Linked DNA regions of Astyanax mexicanus. The protein of the gene in region 1 purifies or fractionates together with the protein of each later gene. This does not show direct contact. Links are inferred from orthologs where the notes say so. Each region holds a gene or a part of one and is shown in the gene's direction. Other genes may lie near its edges.

What was found.
Region 2: the proteins of ogt.1 (region 1) and dido1 purify together in Homo sapiens (affinity purification with mass spectrometry; 3 studies listed by BioGRID and IntAct, with this or other methods). This does not show direct contact. The link is inferred for Astyanax mexicanus from reciprocal best matches to the Homo sapiens genes OGT and DIDO1.
Region 3: the proteins of ogt.1 (region 1) and setd1a purify together in Homo sapiens (affinity purification with mass spectrometry; 4 studies listed by BioGRID and IntAct, with this or other methods). This does not show direct contact. The link is inferred for Astyanax mexicanus from reciprocal best matches to the Homo sapiens genes OGT and SETD1A.

What each region holds. Positions count from the first base shown.
Region 1 is NC_064417.1:383,995-391,252, forward strand, and holds the start of ogt.1 (UDP-N-acetylglucosamine--peptide N-acetylglucosaminyltransferase 110 kDa subunit), read left to right. Parts: upstream 1-4,177; 5' UTR 4,178-4,614; coding exon 4,615-4,651; intron 4,652-7,093; coding exon 7,094-7,258. UniProt on the Homo sapiens protein: Catalyzes the transfer of a single N-acetylglucosamine from UDP-GlcNAc to a serine or threonine residue in cytoplasmic and nuclear proteins resulting in their modification with a beta-linked N-acetylglucosamine (O-GlcNAc).
Region 2 is NC_064431.1:22,959,656-22,967,609, reverse strand, and holds the start of dido1 (death-inducer obliterator 1), read left to right. Parts: upstream 1-4,853; 5' UTR 4,854-4,991; intron 4,992-7,954. Other genes in the region: opioid growth factor receptor-like, read left to right, coding at 1-1,313. UniProt on the Homo sapiens protein: Putative transcription factor, weakly pro-apoptotic when overexpressed. Tumor suppressor. Required for early embryonic stem cell development.
Region 3 is NC_064426.1:19,730,331-19,737,390, reverse strand, and holds the start of setd1a (histone-lysine N-methyltransferase SETD1A), read left to right. Parts: upstream 1-4,039; 5' UTR 4,040-4,259; intron 4,260-5,641; 5' UTR 5,642-5,648; coding exon 5,649-5,786; intron 5,787-6,585; coding exon 6,586-6,684; intron 6,685-7,060. UniProt on the Homo sapiens protein: Histone methyltransferase that catalyzes methyl group transfer from S-adenosyl-L-methionine to the epsilon-amino group of 'Lys-4' of histone H3 (H3K4) via a non-processive mechanism.

The sequences.
Region 1 (7,258 bases):
GCAAACATCCCCCTCCGAACCCACAACATATATACACCACTCCAGCTGGAGCGAACGGGCGCGAGGCGACGAAATGTGTCCAGCGCTGAAATAAACAGGGTCTGAACTGCTTGAATCTTTGCACCAGGAGTAAAGCAGCATAAAGTTATCCAAAAGCAGTGTGTAAGACTGGTGGAGGAGAACATGATGCCAAGATGCATGAAAAAAATTGTGATTAAAAACCACCAGGGTTATTCCACCAAATACTGATTTCTGAACTCTTAAATGTTCTTTGTGAATATGAATTGTATGTGTCCAGTGCAGAAATAAACATGGTGATTGTTTGGTAGCTGCTGTGAGCTGATCCGACCTGAAATATGTGGGTCACTCCTTCAGACCTCAGACCACAGATTAGACAATTAAAACAGAAGGAAATGTGACGAAATTAGTGAACAATCTGCTCCATTAATTTCTTAGCAGCGTGCCCAAAAGCTTGGCCATCTCTGCACAGGCCGCCGCCTACATTTAGAAACGAGACTCTCGGCCCTCGGCCCTCAGCGGTTCACGTGCCGCCCAAAATAACCGTGTGAAAGAGCCTCGGCGGTGAAAACAGACGCTGGCACCGTCTCAACAAAGCAGAGGTGTACGCCCGAGCCCGGTCAGAAGCGGCCCTGCACAAAGATAAAGCATGTCAGATGCGATCGCCAAAGACACGGCGCATGACATCACTCCCCCAGAGCCGGCTCTTTCCCAAGCCAACGTCCGAGTGGCGCAGTGGGCAGGAGGGGGTATCCAGGCCGAGCTCCCACACTGAAGCAACATGAACCGGGCACACACTGTCGCACCATCCGGGCCGATGATGTCAACCCTTTCCCATACAGAGCTGACAAGAGGCAAACAGAGCTGCACTCGGGCTCTAGGAGAAAAGAGGGAGAAAACGGGAAGTTAATGAGACTCTCACATCACAGACCCCAGCCTTCAGGGGCTCTTTTGACGTGTCAATCAGCCCAAGAGGCTGGGGCAAGACACGGGGGTGAACTGGTTCGTGGCATGTTTGCTTTCCTTGTATCTGTGCCTATATGTGTGTGTGTATTGTGTGACTGTGTGTGTGTGTGTGTAAAGAGTGTGTGTGTGTGTGTGTGTGTGTGTGTGTGTGTGAAGCTGTGTGAATTGCGATGGGATGGGGAGGGAGAACACAACATTGGTCCCCACTCTCGTTTCCTTCATCTGTGACCATCAGTGTCATCATTCATTAGTGAGCACACTGGTGAATCTCATTTTCACAATTCTTCTGACAACATTTAGGAAATGTAAGTAAGCTGTTGGATGGAGAGAGTGTTTAGTCTGATGGTCATTTTACACTTTATTGATGATTTATACCGAAGAGGCCAGTAAAAGAAAATACATAAGGATGTGAATGTGGGGTCCCTGCATTGAATGTTCAATTACAATTCTAGCCAGACACCACCGGTTATGAGTGCATTTCAAAATGGTCAGTTTATCTGATTTTGCTGTTAATAGGTTTATATTTGAGTAAAATGAACATTGCTCTTTTATTCTACAAACTACAGACAACATTTCTCCCAAATTGCAAATAAAAATATTCTCATTTACAGGCAATTATAATGCAAAAAAAAAAAAAAATTACATCTTGGCATCATGTTCTCCTCCACCAGTCTTACAAACTGCTTTTGGATAATGTTATGCCTTTACTTCTGGTGCAACAATTCAAGCAGTTCAGCTTGATTTGATTTCTTATTATCATAAGAACCAATAATCATTTCATTGGCTGTACAAAATCACTGTTTAATCTACATGTTTTTTTTACAGGTTTTATTATTAGTAAATGATGGTAAATCTAGAACTTTCTATCATTATAAACTCTGAATAAACAATGAAAATGATTATGATAAACAAGTAAGACAGACAGAGACTATGTTTTACAACAATTTAACTGTGTTAAACACTTATAAACTTCTATTATTATTATTATAACAGAGTAGATACCTCATGCACTGCATATTTTTTCATTATCCCTATTTTGTCATAGCTAATACCCTTCAGAGCTAAGTTTCAAATCCTAAATAAGATGGGTTAGATGTGTAATAGAAGTAAAAACACAAGAATATGCAGAGAATACAGGTTTTTGAGCTGTAATTGAGAACTACATGTTTTTTTGTGTGCAGAAATAAAAACAGATCTGGTTCCTTTTCCTCTTTTGCCCTCTGCAGGCCTGCGGCAGTAAGACTCCAGTGTAATGTTTAGTGCTCCAACAGTGTGTGTTCTAATCAGGCTTCAGATACACACACAATTCAGCAGCTATTAATATTCACAGCTCCAGAACTAGACTATTTCAGAAAATCTTTATTTTTATGTAAGATAGTGAATCTTTAATTTTGTTCGTTTTTATTATGAAAAGATGAATCCCCATGGTCTTACCTACAGCATTATTATTGGTGAAAATTATTAAAACTAGCAAATTAGTTTGATGGTATTTCTGTTTAAAATGTTTGCAAGCAGTATATGTGGGTATTCAATTTATTATTTGTATTTCTGAAAATAATATAATCTGTATTGTATTCTGATATATGTTTTTACACACCACTCATGTCATTTTTGTTGTGTTAATTACTTGTGAATTAGTAGTACAAAAAAAAGTACAAAACTGATGTAAACACTGATTCCTTTAATTGTATTATCCATGTGAGTTATTTCGTCTGCCTTACTCTAACTTTAGACTGATGGCAAATCAGCAGAAAAACACTGTGAATAAAATAAATTTGCTTTTACAAAATACAGCTTAAATTTTCAAGCATGAAATGTCAGCATTTAAGATACATCCGCTATTAAACACCAACATAAACTACTAGACTGGATTTTAAATAATATGGAAAACCTTATAGTGGAATTGTATTATTGTAGCAGAAAAATGGCTTTATTTATATGACATAATTATTTTATAAAACATTGCTGTGAAATTACGATGTAAACACGGTAATTTCGATATATTATGAATTCTTAGTTAATTACTAGTATTGGGTCAGAGATCAATTAAGCTTTATTGGGGTTTTGATTTGCTGAATTATTTTCATAATAAAAGCCAGACTTTTATTTTGAAAGGTTTCTTTAAACGTAAACACACCTATCTGTACCTTTATGACTTTGTACAACAGTCTGAATAAAACAATGAGCTTATATGTTTTAGGTGACGTAATCATGTAGACTTGGCATTTTACTGATAAACCATTTACTAAACACACATTAGAAATGTTAAATATTACATAACACCCACTGATCCATTGATCTTTTGGTCATCTGCCAGAGGTCATTAACACTGGAGTTTTTAAAAACTGTGATTAAAAACCAGGATTATTCCACCAAATATTGATTTCTGAACTCTTAAAACTTTATGAATATGAACTTGTTTTCTTTGCATTATTTGAGGTCTGAAAGCTCTGCATCTTTTTTGTTATTTATAAATGCTCTTAATGACAATATTTATATTTAGAATTTGGAAGAATTGTTTTCCATAGTTTATAGAATAAAACAACAATGTTAATTTACACATATATATTATATATATTTACTTATATATTACTTATATACACATAAATAGCCTGGTAATGTAATATTATTATAATACAGTGATAATACCATTTATCCTGCATTCTGATATTTATAGCTACCAGTAGCTCAACCAATGAGAGTGAATGGTTGAATCCAAACATGGTCCCTGTTTTTCACTGTACGTTAATTGCACACTTACATTTATTATAATATTAAAATATCTTTAGACTTATTATATTTCATATTTCACATTTTAGCAAGTTTTTGTAGTAAAACTCGGCTTTTATTATAATAAAAACACCCCGCCCACCCCCCCCCCCCCCCCCCCCTCTGTCTCTGCTAATGGAACAGTCCCGAATTGCCGCAGTGGTTGGCGCATTGATACACAGAAGAAAGCCGTGTATCTCTATCTTTTAGCGGGAGGCTAGTGTTCTTCCGCCGTAGTGAAGATAATACGTTTATAAAGAGCGAAACAACAACTCATACGCTGCATTTTTTGGGATGAATATAACAAATAAAAATTTACTTTAATGTCGCGAACAATATCTCTGATACTTATTCTGAACACACGTTAAATGAGTCAGAGAGGGAGAGGGAGGTCTAATTTTTTATATCAAAAAAGAAGTCCCGCCCATATTCCGCCATTTCGGTAGATGCTTTGTTAGCGGAGTCAGTGCGATGGTGGAAATACTCTTAATTGAGTATTTTTGACTCATTTTGACTAATTCGAACCGAAATATTTGTAGGTTTGCATTTTTGGTACAGTAGCGATAGGGAAGGAGTAACAGACGTTTTAAGCGGAGGGGTAAAGACAGCTAAATACAGTGAAATACGCGCGATTAGCTCGGTTAGCTTGTCTCGTTAGCTGGCGGTTTCTCCTCAGATTCGGGATCCTCTCAGACTCTTTATCAGCATTTTAACAGATTATTTAATCTGGATCCGCGGACTCGCACAGTCTGTGTGTGCGTGTTATTGATTAGCTAACGGCACTATTGTTTTTTTAATCGGTGGTTTCGTGTTTGTTTTGGCACCCTGACGACCCCTCGGCGAGACTCGAAGACGGGAGAGATGGCGAGCTCAGTGGGAAACGTGGCCGACAGCACAGGTAAACGTGACTGCATTCACTACAGGCCTGAGAGGACATTTAACACAGTTTAACAATATTTAACACAGTTACACACCCACAGCACTCAAATACTAATGTAAAACAGCATAATACATCTTTAGATATTTGTTTATCTAACTAATGTCCTCACTGCTTTGTTAAAATAAGATTGTAGGTACAAAACCATCTATAAATGCATTTATAGCGTTAATGTGCTTCACATTTATTCAGCTTAATGTCTGAGTTATGGAGTTTAAAACCTGATAACCAGAATATTTGTTTTTTTTTTTATAAACTTGAAATATTGTAACTGCCTAATTCATACATTGGTTATTTTTTTCTTGTAATTTGCCCAATCCTGCTCCTAAAATAATTTTCAAAACAATCTAAGAAAAAAAAAGAAACAGTTCCCAGTATTTTAGAACAATCAATTCTGAAATTTATAGATACATAAACTCAAATCTAAAATCTAATGCTGTATACTGGACCTTTCAGCACTCACATAGAGCCATATTTCTGAGTTTTAAGTCAAATAGATTTTAATTTAGTTTTGGCCAACAAATTAACCAGATAATAAGCTAATTTAGCTAGCTGATTATAATTAATTTGTTTTGCTAATTTGTTTTTTCTAATATTGTATTTGTTTATATGCCTGCTTAGTCAGTGGGTTGGGTGAAATGGGGTAAACAAAATTGTTGGGTTTGTCGTCCATTGTAGATGTAAGAAAATAATGCTTTTGTTTGGTATTGTAATATTGGCTTTTTAGTTTACTAGTTTACATGGAAAAATTGGTGTCAGAAGTGGTTCATTTTGTGTTGTTTAATCTCTGACCTCTAGAAAGCAGTGTTGTACTGCGTCATTAAATCACACTGTCTTAACAAATAACATAAATTACAACTACTGCAAATTTATTAGTAGGGAAAAATATCAGAAACCTGTAGATTTGCACACAAATAACATAACTCTCTCTTATCTCAGAGACGCATAGTTTGATTGTTGATTGTCGTGATTTGAAATGTGAGACTGTAATATTATACCTGTTATACAGTTTAAATTGTTAATAACCTGTTCTAACTCTTCATTATTTATTGTTTAAATCTGTTGCTACACCCTAATTCACAAGGTTTGTCGAATTACATTTTGCTTAAAAATCTTAGATCATTCAGTCAAATTATCATAATTCAGTTTCTGACAAGAACTAGAGATAAAAAAAGGCTTACAGATTTTAAAAGCAGCTAGCGAAAGATATTTGTCCATTTTAAAAAAGCAATTAAAATGACGCACCCCTTTAGTAAACTGTAACATCTTAGTCATGTATTTACCAAGTAGGCATTTGGAAAAATGTGGAAACTCTAACCGATTAAATCCAACCAAGCAGGAGCCTGTCTTACAGGGTGGGGTGCTGAAGTGCTAAAGAAAGATCTGATTATAAATAGAAAGTCTCAGGAGAGTTTGCTTTGTTTGTTGACTCACCTAATCCCTGAACCGATGTAGATAATGAAAAGAAAAAGAAAAGATAGAAAAAGCTGTAAATAGATAAGCCAGATTGTCATGTACTGTTTATGTTGATTTAAATATATATATGCATATATAGATATCATTAATTTTTCTCAGTTCTGATGGTGAAATAAAGGTGAACAAAAGGTTTGTTTGACTGTGCAGGAATTATTGGCAATTCATCTGAAAGTAAGCATATTTATTAACTTTCATAAACATTGAAAAGACTGTAAGACACTTTAGACATAAAAGCGTTAGACGTGAACACGTGCAGCTGCAATATTTAGCAGTGTTTAACTGTTTATCTCTTTGCATCTCTATTTGTTTTCACACATTTGTTTTTTTTCTTCATTGTTTGAATGCTTGCCCATTGACTGCTTGCACATCACATTTAATCAGTTTACTTAGTACTTAGTAAATGCATCATTTTATTTGGCGTCACCATTTTGTCTATTCATGTTCCTTCTCATACTTCTTTCTCAGCATCTGTGCTTTTCTTTTTTTTTTAATTATTTAAAGGATGAGTTCTGCATTTAAGCAAAGATATTGCCCAAAAATATTTATTTAGTGGTCACATCATGTGATTAATTGTATATAATGTATATAACACCAATTACATCAATAAAATTAGGCTGGACTCATCCTTTTAAATTCCCCTACATTTCCACTTTACTGTTTGTCTCTATGTGAATGAGGTTCTCTCTTTTTTTTTTTTTAGTGCCCTTTTTCACATTGATTGATCGGTTTATCAAAGTACAAGATAAACTTTTTTTCAGTGTTTGTTTTAAGGCCTAAAGCCTTTGTGTTTTTAGTCTGCATGTTAAAGATACATTTACTAAGTCATCATCTTTGTTCTTGTCATTGTTTGATTATTTTGCTTCATTTCCATTTATTCTAACGTGTTGTTTTCCCCCCTCCTCCTTCGGGTTGTGTTGGTGGCCACAGAACCAACAAAACATATGCTTTCCTTCCAAGGGTTGGCCGAGCTTGCACACCGCGAGTATCAGTCCGGCGATTTTGAAGCAGCAGAACGTCACTGTATGCAGCTGTGGAGACAGGAGCCCGACAATACTGGTGTCCTACTGCTGCTCTCTTCCATCCACTTCCAGT
Region 2 (7,954 bases), on another chromosome or scaffold:
CACACCCTCAACAAAACATGAGGAGAATGGAGGACAGTGCTCTAAGCACAAATGTAATGGCATCAACTGAAAATGATACAGCAGGAGCAGGAGCTGTAATGCATAGTGGCACAGAGACAGCTCCTCTGAGTGATAATATGGTGTCTACAGAAGAGCAAGATGGCACAGACACATCTCCTCAGAACGATGATGTGTCGAGCCAGCATTCTGCAGAAGTTTCCAGTAGCACACATACACCAAATCAGAGTGATTCTGCGATGTCAGCATCAAGCTCTGCAGAAGATTCAAATAATATTTCTGAGAACCACGGTGTCCATGAACGCACTCTGAGACCAGACATACCATTAAGGCCAGATAATGAAAATAATACAGATGACCAGGGAAAGGACATAGTACCATTACATTATGGAGCTAGAGCAGAAGCAGTGCCTGTTGTGCCAGATGGCACAGAAACATCTCCTCGGAATGATGATGTGTCGAGCCAGCGTTCTGCAGAAGATTCCAGTGACACGTCTAAGAATCATAAGAGTGATCTTGACGGCACAAATAAAGAAAACAACAGTATAATAGATGAGAATGGAGCTGGTGGTGCTAAAGCAAAAGGTGTGTCTGTATTGCAGGATGGCACAAATTCAACAAATCAGACTGATTCTGGGATGTCAGCAGCAAAGTCTTCAGAAATTTCAAATCAAATGTCAGACGACCACGGTGTCCCTAAACCCACAGCTAAAAATGACACAAAGACAACAAGGGATGACGCTCTCAGACAGGACATAGTACCACCAGAACCAGATAATACAGATGATTTAGAGGGTTCTAAAAATACACAGAGTTCTGAAAAAGAGTCAGTTGCAATGTCTGAGGACCAGAGTGTCCAAAAAAGCACAGCTACCGAACACAAGGGGAGAACAGGGGATGATTCTCAGGAACCGGGCATATCATCAAATGAAAATAATGCAAATAATGCAATGGAATCCTCAGGGGGTGACACAGAGGAAGTTTCTCTTGTGGGTGATATTGAGATGTCTGACAACCAGGAGAGTGACCAGAGACGAGAAAAAGATCCACCAACTAAAGATGATGATGATGAAATGGAAACAGAGGGTAACACAGAAACAGCTCAGAACATACTACCAAATGTAGATGGTGGGGCACATCCTGAAGCAATGCCTGGACTACAGAGTGGCACAGATACAACTCATCTAAGTGATAGTCCTCTGCCAGGACAGAATTCTACAGTAGAGTCAGATGAAATGTCTGACAACCTGGAAAATGACCAGAGATTGGACCAAGATCAAAAAAAAAAAAGATGATGAAGCAGATGCAATGGTGGAATAGTCTGAAACGGAGCATGACACGGATACACCTCAGGATGCTAAAAAGTCAATACTAAATTCAGAATATTTTTTTAATATATAATTTTTTGACATGAAAACACAAAACTACTAAAGAAGAAATAAAAAGAACAGGTACAGATACTCCTGGCAGAAGATTCAGATAGCGAAAACATAAAGAGAGTAGTGTAGGGTTTACTGAAACTGGAACCACCAAAAGGTGACGCAGAAGAAGGAACTGATAAAAAAGGACATTTTCTGGAATATTATTTTGCCGTTCTCAGCAATGTTTAGAACTGAAGCATTTATAAGATGAATCAATTTAATTATGGGAACGGGGATTTCACTGTTATAAGAATAATAGAAATGTAATGATCGCATGTTAGGACGTATATCAATATACAGTATTTGTTTGAAAAGGTATTTCCCTTTGATTTCCTTTTTAAATTTAAAAACATAAAAAATCTCTGTAATCCATTTTTATTTCTGAAGTCTGTGATCTATATATTTCTATAAGTAATATTAAATAGTTAGATGTTAGGAAATTTTATAAATTATGTAATTTGTAGATCATGATCTGACTCACAATTTGACTTTGCATTTAATCTGTGATAATAAATATACATTAACAAAATGTTCTCTGGCTGTTCTAAATGTGTGTTCATATTTTCTGTATTCGAGCCTTCTTTAGAAATTTCTACTTGCAACTTTGGTGCAAATACAACATGACTTCCACTGTTTAATGATAACAGATGACAAATTAATCACACCTTTTCACACTTGAAATGCACCTGCAAACTATATTTTTAGACAAAGAACAAGTAAATACAGAAAGCTTTTTAAATGATGTATTCATTTTTAAATGAATCATGTATTAACAGATTATTAGAATTTTCATGATCACTTGTTAAGAAGTATTGCCACAACCAATAGAGCAACCAAAATCCCACATAACCTGTGGGATTTTTCTATCCCAGATTTTTCCATCTCTAATGTATTAAAACTATTTTTTTCTGACATCAAAATGTATTTATTTGTGCACATAGTTTTTTTTGCTGATTTAACACTGATACAAAAATATATATGTTTTGTTTGTATTAAACTTTAAACAATAAATATGCATATACTGTATGCATTCCATTTATATAACTTGTACTGTAAAAAGGGACATATAAATCATATTATACTACAAAAAAATAATGATAGTAATGTATTATTATTATAGTAGTAGTATATGTGGGGAGCACATTTGCCTAAAAGCATTGAGAGTGTATACCATTCAAAACATTTAATTGAACATTGATTCAATGTCAGAAATTTAAAACTGACCTTTATTTCAAATATAGTGTGTTTAAAGGTTGTTTTACCATCAACAACATCACAATATGTAATATGAACAAATGTTTGTTCAATGTTTTATTGCTATCCAGGATATGTGAAAAAATATATCCTTTCTGGATATAAAACTGTCACTCACATAATGTACATACTTCCTTTGGGTTTGTTTCATAATGATTTTTGTTTGTTTTGTTTGCAGTAATTATAATTTATAAATTGTAAGTATACTAGCTCTCTTAACAGAGGTATACATATAGCTCTACATTACATACTTATACATAGTTTCTGTGGTGTTCATGTTCATTTCAACCAAAACAACTTAAGAGTTGAGAATTAGATTGATATAGGGCTTTTCAGAAACCCAAGAACACTTTAAAATGTCAATAGAAAGGAGGATATAGAATATCCTAATGAATAAATGAATTGCACAGCTAAGACGTGAAGTGAGAGAAAAAGAGGAAAGTGGAAGAGCCATGGAAAGATTGTGTCTAAGAGTTGCCAATTTTATGTGTCACCATAAAATTGGCATCTCTGTGGTGCTGCTCATAAGAGCCGTGGACCTGTTTTTCCTGTAAAGCGGCTTTGTGACAACCTTTGTTGTAAAAAGCGCTATATAAATAAAATTGAATTGAATTGAAGAGTTCCAAAGTTAAGGAGCTGATGAACAAACAGCATTATCTACTACCTACAGGTTTTAATTTAATTTTAGGGGCAGTCAGAGGTCCAGAGGCAGGGGCATAGCAGCAAATTCTGGGCCCTGTACACTCTCTATGTCAGTGGGCCCCTATCCATGCCAGTACACAAGGAACGTGATCAAAAAAAACAAATTCTGGATTTCATGGGCCCCTCTCCCTACTCGGGCCCTGGGTAGTCAGGTCCACTTTTCTCACCACTACCACGCCCATGGTCAGAGGACAGTGAGGCAGAATAAGTTAAATGAGGTATGAAGGGAAAGCCCATAAAGGGGTTTAAAAGTTAGCAATGTACTTAATATGTGAGAATATTTACATGCAGCCAGTGAAGATTCTTGAGGACGGGAAAATGTGGGCGAAGCGTTTGGTGAGAGTAAGGACCCTAGCAGCTGAGTTTTGTATCGACTGAAGGTGACTGAACTGCGTAAACAGAAGACTGGAAATTAAGTTGTTACTGGGACCCACCTTACTCTCATATGGGCCCCATGTAGGCCCTGTGTGCAGTGCAAAACCCAGAAGCTGCCCATGTTTAAAGGAATCCTCTATTGCAGGGGTGTCCAAACTATGGCCGCGGGCCATTTGCGGCCCGTTTCCTTTTTTGGAGCGCCCCACGAGGTATTTTGGAAATAGAATGAAAGTTGGCCCGCTGTTAAGCAGGTTTTTATAATGTGGCATTCAAAGTGTGAACGCTAGGTGTAACGGGGCAAAAGAGTCTAAAAGCGGAGAGAGTGCGCATTTCTAGCACAGAACAACGGGGCAAAGAGTCTAAAAGCGGAGAGGGTGTGCATTTCTAGCACAGAACAACGGGGCAAAGAGTCTAAAAGCGGAGAGGGTGTGCATTTCTAGCACAAAACAACGGGGCAAAGAGTCTAAAAGCGGAGAGGGTGTGCATTTCTAGCACAAAACAACGGGGCAAAGAGTCTAAAAGCGGAGAGAGTGCGCATATCTAGCGCAGAAAAACGGGGCAAAGGAGTCTAAAAATTGCCGTAATTAAAGAGTTTAATATTAAGAGACATCATGAAATTAAACATCAATTTGAAAAATCTTAGTTTACACAACACTGTCAAAGATAAAGATGGTATGTAATGGTGTGTAAATGAAATAATCAGGAAAAAAGTATTATTTAAAGTGGTATATTTCATTATTTGTTTTATTACCGAGTGGGGCCCGTGACTTTAAATATATTTCTCCTTCTGACCCCCAATAAAAAAAGTTTGGACACCCCTGCTCTATGGCGTCAATCGATGTCAGAAGTCGGGGGCGCAAAAACAGCAGGTGAAAAAAAAACGTGTGAGTTTTAACATTTTGCCTGTGTAAATTTCTTTGTCGCAAGCACAACTTTGAAACTCGCAGGCACAAAAAAAGAAAATGTGTGCGTGCAGAACAGAATATCGCTGTCGAGCTTTATTTTTCACCTTTTTTAATACCTGTATGCAGGCAGCAGGGGGCGGTCTGATCCCCGCTCCTCCTCCTCTTTCTCCGCGGTGTGTCTGTGGGTCTGGCTGTAGCTGTGTTTGTCCTCTACCAGCGCTGGGAAAGGCGCTCCTCCATCAGCAGCACGCAAAGAAGAAAATGGAGGACAAGATGTGGCGGTGAGCGCGCTGCTGCAGACACGCCGGATTCACAAGTGAGTGTGCGGCCCTGGAAGCGCAGACGGTCCGCGGCTGGATGCATGCGCTGCAGCGGGTTTAGAACGATGCTTTTAACTGCATTTAACTTAATATTTGATCAGATTCGGGTTCCGCTGAGCTGTTGCTGCACGAGCTCGGGCGGCAGTAATGGCGTCGCGGTCTGAAGCCTCCACTATATAGATTATAACCACTATCATCATCTTTATCTGCGCGGATTACACATATTTACAGCCTGAACGTAGCGAAATCGATGTGGCGGTAGTGTAAAGAATATAATCAGCTAGTAGTTGCTGTTATAGTTTATATGATATGCGCTATAAAATCATGTTTTTGGAGACAAGTTATTAGCTAAGAAAGCTAACTAACTTGGCTAGCACGTTAGCTTAGCTAGGTTGTTGCGTAGAGGTGGGTAAACCAGGTCTAAAAAGGAAAAAAGCCAACCCAGGCTTTGTACCAGTTTCCTGGGCGGTTTTGCTGAGTTTTCCAGGCAGTTGATACAAAACGCTGGGTTGGATTTTTACTTACTGGACCTGGGTTACACACCTCTAAATTACTTGTTGGCTAGCCTCGTGGCTAACATTGGATTTAACGTTGGCTAGCGTTCGCTAATCTAGCCTTCTCACACGGCTGCATTTCGTAATGTCTCTCAGTTTAAATCACAAAAAAAGACTTGTTGCTTTAAACGCTGTAAACGTCATATTTAGCGACATATAGATATGTAACTAACTAATATAGCTACGTATTACTTACTGAACGAATTTGTTTAAATGTAGTTTGTTTAGCACCTTAGCTATTTAGATACCCTGCAAAGCGATTCGTTAGTGTTGTCATGTAACCTAGCTAACATAGCTAGCCAATATTAACGATAGCTAACTAGCTAGGTTAGCTAAAAGTGGGCGTGATGCGCACAGTAATGCCTTACTTTTACCTATTTATTGGCACGTTTAAGGAATTTTGTGCTTTTTTCTGTGTCCTACCCATTAGCATAGATGAGCTAGTTACCCCCTTTACGGGCCTTGTAGTGTAACGTTAGGTGATACAAAACTATTTTACTGCTTTTTCTGCAGTAAAATCGGTTATTCACATTCTGAAAACTTAGAAATCTCACACGGGTTACTTGGAGAAGCTGCCTGTTTATTTTCTACTGCACTTAATAATTTCAGATCAGTAACAGACACCAAACCCACATTATGCAGGTTTGTAAATAAACAAAAACTTGACAAACATAACGAAACGAAAGGTTTGGGGGAAATGAAATGTCTAATTTGTATTCAGGAAAATACACATTTAAAAATAAAGTTTAGGTAAGTGACAATTTTATGTTTGTTATTCATTATATTTGTAAAGTTGCAGATTTAATTTTTAAAAAAATAATACCTATTACAATTCGAATTCCTAGTAACGTGTATTATCGAACATGAAACCTCTATATCTTTAAGATTTAAGGGTGTGTAATATCAGGCAGAAAATTAACAAGCTAACCCATGTCTGGATTGCACCCGGGTATAAGTACCTAGCATTTGCAACACAGGGAGGCTTTGTTTCACACATTGATTTAAAACTTTGCAATGCAGTTTACCCTAATGACTGGGCACATTTTACTTGTTGGTACAATATAGCCTATAACTACCTATATAACTATAACTATAAAACTACCTATTTAGAGCCAGGGGTTTATACATTAGTGATGTAATCTATTTTACCTAAGCAATGTCATGCCTTTCTGTGAACTTTAGAATAAAGATTAACCTTATCATGTGGGTAAATAAGTGCTCAGATTATAGAATTCCACTTTATTTAATCAAATCTAATATTTTTAGGTAATATTTAGGTAACATTTGATTCAATAAAAAATGTATGAAAATTAAATGCAGTTTTAAGAATGTAAATTGCCAGTCTTTTCACGTACATGCAAAAACATTGCATCTCATTTTTAGTGGACTTTCAAGTTTATATAATTTGAATATGGCAGTTGTTGTTTAAATTGTATAAAAATGGGTGTGCAAAAAGCTTGTGCCTTCTGAATATTGATGCCAATTTCAAATTTAAATCGGATAAATTCAGGGAGCAGCTCAATCACGTTTTTTTTTATTATTATGAGCACATGACTAGTTCTTATTTTAAGGTTAAAATTCTGATGCAACCAAAATGACACAACAATTTTTAACAACTGGTATTTTATACATTTGTTCTAAAAAATAAGTTCAGAACTAGCCAGCTAGTCCTATCAACGTGATGCATGTCATTAACGCGTTTGAATTGTTAAACCGATTGAAAAATACATGTAGGAGCAAAAATACACTTTTTAGGCAGCTGGTTTATCTCAAGCACCAACCCAGCAATACTTTAGCTTTAGATACATTCTGTAGTTAAATGAGGGCACATGAATGAATACTAATTCACTTACTGACCTGTAGTAACGCACACAGTAATGTGTGTTCATGAGATACAGTGTTATTGTAGCGCAGAGGGGCTGCGGAGTATTAGCGGGTACGGAAGATGACTTAGCCTAGCCTAGCTTAGCTCGGTTAGCTAACCTAGCCAGCTCGTATTAACGTAGACACGAGCTGTTCTACTACTTTAAACCCTAGCTAAAGCGTGTAAAAGCACATTTCGGAGCGTACATGCCCCTAGCTAAGCTACATTTTAATCTTTAGCTGATATGTAAGGTAGCACGGGACATGGGAATACGGCGCTCCCTCCTGCCTCGTGACTGGGAAAACTGGGAACACGAAGGCGTGAACGTGGCCTGCATTATATTTCCCCATTATTTGGATTTTAAAAAAACGAGTAACTAATACGGGTGTGTTTATATTTGTCAGCTTTAGTTCAGTGTAAACGAACCCTGGTGCGAAACCATTGCTCTGTTAGGAGGGTTCGTTTGAGTAATAACTAACCTAGCAACCTGCTAATGTTACTCACGTGGTTCATGCTGTGTAGGAATGCTATAAACAGAAGG
Region 3 (7,060 bases), on another chromosome or scaffold:
TAGTTTATAGAATAAAACAACAATGTTAATTTTACTCAAACATATACCTATAAATAGCAAAATCAGAGAAACTGATTCAGAAACTGAAGTATGAAGTCTCCTAATTTTTTTCTAAAGTGTTATATACTTATATACAAGTGATGCAACTTTTCAGTGTATGACCCTAATAGAACACTATGTATAAAATATATAGGTTGTAAATCTACTTGTGTTACATTTAATGAGATCAGCCATAACATTAACACCACTGAGCTGGTGAAATGAATTACAGTTCCATTTTTCCCCTCTTTGGTATAGTGAAAAAGAAATGGAATTTCATTCAGGTTTTCAAGTTTTTATTTTTTCCCCTGATAAAATGAAAAAGAAAATAATAATAATATCCTGTCTTTCTCTCCAATCTAATAGTTAAATAACTACATTTTCTTATTACAAGATGCAAAAACAAAATAGAGAGTAAAATAAAGATTCTTTTTTTCCGTTTTCCGTGTAAGATTGGAAGGGCATGAATTAAAAACTTATAAAGAAAACAGGTGTATTGAGCTACTTTGTTTATTTTTGTTGTTGATTGTTGTAGTTCCACAATAAAACACTAGATGGAGGCACTAACTTAACCCTCTGCAATGACACGGCGTGCTGTTTAATGCACTACACTGAAAAGTCTCCTTTATTGGATAATTTAGCCAGTTATTAAGCTATTTCCATTTAGTAGTTTTGGTAATCGTTATTATTTAATGTGAAAGTGCCATAATATCGATTAGAACGTTACTAAAATAGGGCTATTCACTGTATACCAACTCTACCACAGCTGTATACTGTTGTATATCTGTATACCAATACTACTACCACAGCACAAGAAAATCCAGCCAAGATGTACAAAGCTGTCATCTAGGTAAGAGATGCTACTTTAAAGACTCTAAAATACAAAACATATTCTGGTTGGTTTAACACTTTTTGTTTATACCATCATGTTTGAAATGAGTTGAATGTTCTATTGTAAATAAAATACGAAATATATCATCTGGTCAGTTTTAATAGCAGCATATTACTTAAATGTTCTGGGGTAAACTTTTGCTCCTCTGTTCTAAACAATCCGGTTTATTATAAAATATTTTGATTAGTACACATTACCACATGTTATGGGATATTCTGGTACTGCAGATAGAGTTACTGTAGAACCTCACTATGACTTACTGTGCTACTGTGATTTATTATGCACTTCATCCTCAAAGGAAGTTGCCAATAAATCCTGCTCCACAGTGTTCCTGGAAAGATTAAACCAGATAAAGACGTAAATGGCTTGTGTCTGATGTCTGAGATGCTCTCCAGTTCTCTAAATGGAGAGATGATTTCGTTTGTTTAGACGATTATTTCTGTCTGCAAACTAAGTCTCTACTCAAAGCCTTAACGTATTTATTAAATCCTAGTAAATAACCAGTGAAAGATGAGACTAGTTGCCAAAAAAAAAAAATAAACGCCAAATATCATCAGTAAGTGAGATCATACATTTGGCACATCTTCTTGTCCTATATCCAACCAGGCCTTGAGCCAGCAGCAGCATCTGGAACTCTTATGTTGTGCCAGTGGTGTGAAGATTACAGATTTACAGATTTGTTTTTGTTGTTGTTTTTTTTTGTAATACTTACATTAATATCAGACAAGTAACCTAAGTAAATATAAAAAGTACTTTTTTAATTATGATTTAATTTATTAAGGGGAAAAAAAATCTAAATCTAGCCCCTGAACAAGCCCGTCATAAATTAACCTTGATTAATCACACTTTTTGTAAAGCTGAGTTCAATTTCTCTAACCACAACCAAGACTGATTACCACCAGACCTGTAGAATCAAGAACTTACTTTCTGACAACATGAAGCTAAAAGCAACACATTATGCTGTGATCTAAAGAAATTCCAAAACAGATGAGAAAACAAAGTCATTGATCATTTATCAGTCTGGACAATGTTGTAAAGTAATTTCTAAGGTTTTGGGACTCCAGTGAACCACAACGAGAGATATTATTCACAAACTGGGAAAATATGAATCTCTGGTGAATCTTCAGGAGTGGCCGGCTGACCGAAATTATTCCAAAAGGGCATGGACAACTCATCTAGGAGGTCACAAAGCGTCAGCGGTAATGATGGAATAATAAAAAAGTGACTGGTCAAAAATGGTAACCATGGTAAAACTTACAATTAATTTCACAAAAAACATAATTCTGAACATAAAGCATAGTGGTGGTAGTGTGATGGTCTGGGGCTGCTTTGCTGCTTTGACCTGGACAGCTTGCTGTAATAGATGGAACCAGGAATTCTGCTGTTTACTAGACAATCCTGAAGGAAAGTATCACAAAAAAGCAAAAACAAAAGAAATCTGTAGGGAGGCAAATACTTTTTATACTGTATACACAGTGTCAATACTGTCCAAAAATGGCTTCTACTAGATGTTGGAGCATTGCTGTAAAATTCTAATACTAACAAAGATATTCTGAATTCTCTATTTTCAGACAGTTACTTTGCTGAGCACTCCATAAATAAAAATCGAGGCAGATCATTAAATGTTAAAACATTACAGTTTTATTTAATATTAATACATCTTCTGAAGAGTATGTTTTCATAGTATGTAAAGATGAAAGGACTCCTAACATTATTGCATTTACTGTGGCTAATTTTTACTTTTAATATTTTATTGTTTCAGTCAGCTATACAGTACCAGTAAAAAAATTACACAAATTGAATACAGTGGTATTATAGTGGTATAATCCATATTATGTCAAAAACTAGACCAACAACCTTATGAAACTTGCTCTCATTAGAAGTGCCAGAGCAAGAGAGGAGCAAGAGTTACAGTATATCCGGAAAGTATTCACAGCGCTTCACTTTTTATTACGTAACAGCGTTATTCCAAATTGTATTACATTAATCTTTCCTCAAAATTCTACACAAAATACCCCATTACGACCATGTGAAAAAAAGTTTTCTTGAGAGTTTTGGAAATGTATTAAAATAAAAAAATAAAAAAAGAAATCATATTTACATAAGTATTCACAGCCTTTGCTTAATACTTTTTAGAACCACATTTGGCAGCAAATACAGCCTCAAGTCTTTTTGAATATGATGCCACAAGCTTGGCACACCTCTCTTTAGGCAGTTTTGCCCATTCTTCTTTGCAGTACCTCTGAAGCTCCATCAGGTTGGATGGGAGACATCTGTGCACAGCCATTTTCAGATCTCTCCAGAGATGTTCAATCAGATTCAAGTCTGGGCTCTGGCTGGGCCACTCCAAGACATTCATATAGTGGTCCTGAAGCCACTCTTTTGAGATCTTGGCTGTGTGCTTCGGATCGTTGTCCTGCTGAAAATTGAACTGCCACCCCAGTCAAGAGCGCTCTGGAGTTCTGGTTTTCATCCCGGATGTCTCTGTACATTGCTGCATTCATCTTTCCTGACTAGTATGCCAGTTCCTGCTGCTGAAAAACATCGCATTGCATGATGCTGCCACCACCATGCTTGACTGTAGGGATGGTATTGGCCTCGTGATGAGCAGTGCCTGGTTTCCTCCAAAATCTTATTCCATGTTTGGTTTGCATTTTTATTTAGATAAAATAAATATTAATGATATAATTGTAATTTTTATTAATTGTAATTAATTGTGTATAATTCATTTTAAGTTTATATACAAATTATCTAGCTTACATGACGTTATAATTGTTGTTTGTTTGTTTTCAGCTTTTTGTCTGTTTGTTTATTTTTGTTGGTTTGTTTGTAGCTGTTTATTTTGTTTGTTAAATGGCTGTTTATTTTGTTTGTTCATTTATATCTGTCGTTTGTTTGTTTATACTTGCATATTTTCTTTACATATGTTTATTTTGTTTGTTTGTTTTATGGCTGTTTAATTTGTTTATATATATTTGTTTTGTTTTGTTTTGTTTGTTTTGATGCACTTGGCCGAGGCTTCACCTTCACCCTCCCGCCTGACTCCCTAGTGACGTCTTTAGCAAGTAAACGGCAGATTCGCCAATTTAAGACACACATTGCTAGCTCGTCAGATAGAAAAAAATATATAGCTGCGTCAGAGGATGAAGCGTGTTGTATTGTTTACTGTAAATTAAAACACGGATCGTTTGATTCATGTTTTAATAATTTAGCGCTTTCATTAAGTTCGCTAGCCGGCAAAGATAGGCAGATCCTGTGCGGAAAGTGCTTGAGCCGAATCAAAGGAATGTTGTTCTTGTGACGAATGGCGGACAGGCGAGGCTCTCAGGTTGGTTGCGCGATGGCCGCTGTGTGTTTAACCCCGATTATTTCCTCAAAACAGCGCTTTTAGGTGGAATATGGCGCTTTAAAATGTCTCGAAGCGGCACCGGAACGCGGGCAGCACCTCTCGAGGCCGGGCAGCGCGGCCCCGGAGTGGAAAATACGCCGCTTTTTGGCTCCGCGGGTCTCCGGGAGTCTGGTTCGCTGTAGCGGCCTGCCGAGCGGCTAGTTAGCACATTAGCTTAGCATGCTAGCTATCTTGTTTAGCGGCATTGTGGCGGACGTTTTTAGCTTGTTAGCGCTTTAGCTAAGTGCAGGTGACCGCTCGTAGCTGCGTTGGAGGCTCTAAAAGAGGGATAAAAGACTTTAGCAGACGGGAGCCTCTGTTTTAGTGCTCGGATAAATTCGCCGCGGAGACGGAGGGTAAAACGAGTTTAGTTTGAAATCTGGGGTTATTAGCTACAGTTCATAGCGTTTCTCCTAACCTAGCGGTATCTACTCTGCAGGCAGCCCACAGTTTTAGTGTTTATACTGTTATAACCATGTGGATATGAGTGCAGGTTGCCGGTAAAAGTCGTTAGCTATGTAAAATCGGCTGTTCTTTCAAGTAGTGTTGAAATATTGTTAAAAACAGGACTCAGTTTATGAGGGATATGATTAGCTGCTATTGTTGCAACTGTGCAACTATGCGTGCAGCATCACAACAAAAACCTGATTAACTCCTCTTAGACTCATCTCCAACAGCAACAAGAGACAATAGCATAGGGAAGATGATCAGGAGAGGGCTTGAGCAAGGATTGCATACAGCCCTTGGTCATCATCTGACCTACTCTTTAGGTTGACTATTTCTAATTCTTTCCCTAAGAACAAAAAAGAGAGTTTGGAAAGCTTAAGCTGGATGACCAACATAACCATCATGTCCAAGTTTGTTTACCAGACTAACCTATGTAATGCCGATTGAACTAAATATTGTAAGGATGCATGATAATATTGAAGTTATGTCAGTATAGGTTGATACTGTTTTTTGAATCAGCAGCATTCAGTGATATTAATATGACCAATACTTCGAACCGATACTTGCTGACTTTCTGTATTTATTGTAAGGCAGCAAAGGTCTAAGTGATGCTGGCCATGCTAATAAAATTGACACACACTGACAGAGATTCTTTAAAATGATTTGATTTATGTATTTTTTTTTTTTTAGTTTTTTAAAGTTATACCAGTGTGTTGAGTCTCTCTGTAAGTAATAAAATGTGTATCCTCTTCAGCAAATTTATATATAGTATATAAGTCTGATTTCCCACATCGGTGCATCCCTACCATTGTGCCATTTGTGCCTTTGCCGTTGTGTCCTGTGAATTTCATTCACCATTCTTATTTTCTCTGCAGTAATAGCATGGATCCAGATAGTGGGGCGGACACCCAGCGAGCTCTCAGTCTGCAATGGAAGAGCTACAAACTTGTACAGGACCCTGCCATTCGCAGGGTCGCTCAGAAGATCTACAGATACGATGGGATTCACTTCAGTGTGCCGGTATATGCTTTTTTTATATAGTTGGTTTGTGATGGTAGACGCCGCAGTCAGCAAGAAAATAACTAAAATCAGGGCATTTAAGGGTAATGTATTACTTGTCAGCAAGCTAATTCTGAGGCCTCTGAGTCATTTTGTGAACATCTGTTTCAATGCTTTCAGTTGAAATGTGTTAAGTGACTCACCATGCATTAAAATATTTTAATTTATTTATTGGACATTTGTGTTGGATTTAATAAGACGGATATACCTTTAGCTTTTACACAATACTGGGAATCTTCATTCTTGGAGATCTACCAGCCTTGCCCTCTTAAGTTTAGCTGTGGTACACCTGGTTTTAATATTTATATGCTGCAGCTGAAGGCCTTTATCAACAGGATCATAAGTGTTGGACATAAACTAGTAGAAATAAATGCTTTGTTTCTTTGTCATGCTAATCCAAGGTAATTTAGTCTCAATTTCAACATTTTATAAATGTTAGTAAATCATCACTGACATGCATATCAAATTTTGGATATCTGCTTCAGCCCATAATTCCGCTTAAGTTAATATCAAGATTTTATAGGTAGTCAAATAGGTAGTCTGTATGCCGTTATGCTTATTCAGGCCATGCAGTTTTAAGTGCATGTGTTTGTCAGTTTTTAGCACTAAATAAATATTGATATTGTACATAACAGCAAAATCTGGTTTGTACTATTAGCACTGCTTATGTTAAAATTGAGGCTATATTTTTGGAATACTTATAACTACATGATTCCTTATTAAGCGATTAATATTCATTAAATTATTTTCTAACCCTTAGGACGCAGGGTTCCCACCTGTGGGGGAGTTACGTGACCCTCGGCCCCGAAGGATATGGTCCAGGCACACGGAGCTGTCGCTTCCCGTGCCCAAATTTAAGGTATGTTTTTAATGTCAGTCTTTTTTTCTCATATTTGCAACCTGTGAGTGAAAATGTTCCACATCAATTCTTGTTTTCTCTAGAGTACATTTTTATACATATTTTGGCTGAATTGTTTTGCTCTTCTTGCTTGAGTGCACCTGAACAAATTCTTAACATTTCATAAGTAATTGTCTCAGTCTGAAGGCCTGTTTTCTGCAAGGATCTTTAGAGACAGGAAATTTTAACTTTTGAACAGACTGAGGTCTGGTTGAGTCTTTTTGGCTCTGGTGGCTGTTATCGCTTTTTGGTCAGCAGAGAGTTAAAACAGGCCTTTTGGTGGGCATTGTTTGCTATAGCTAATGCTGAATGCACACTACATAATTGTGGGCATGAT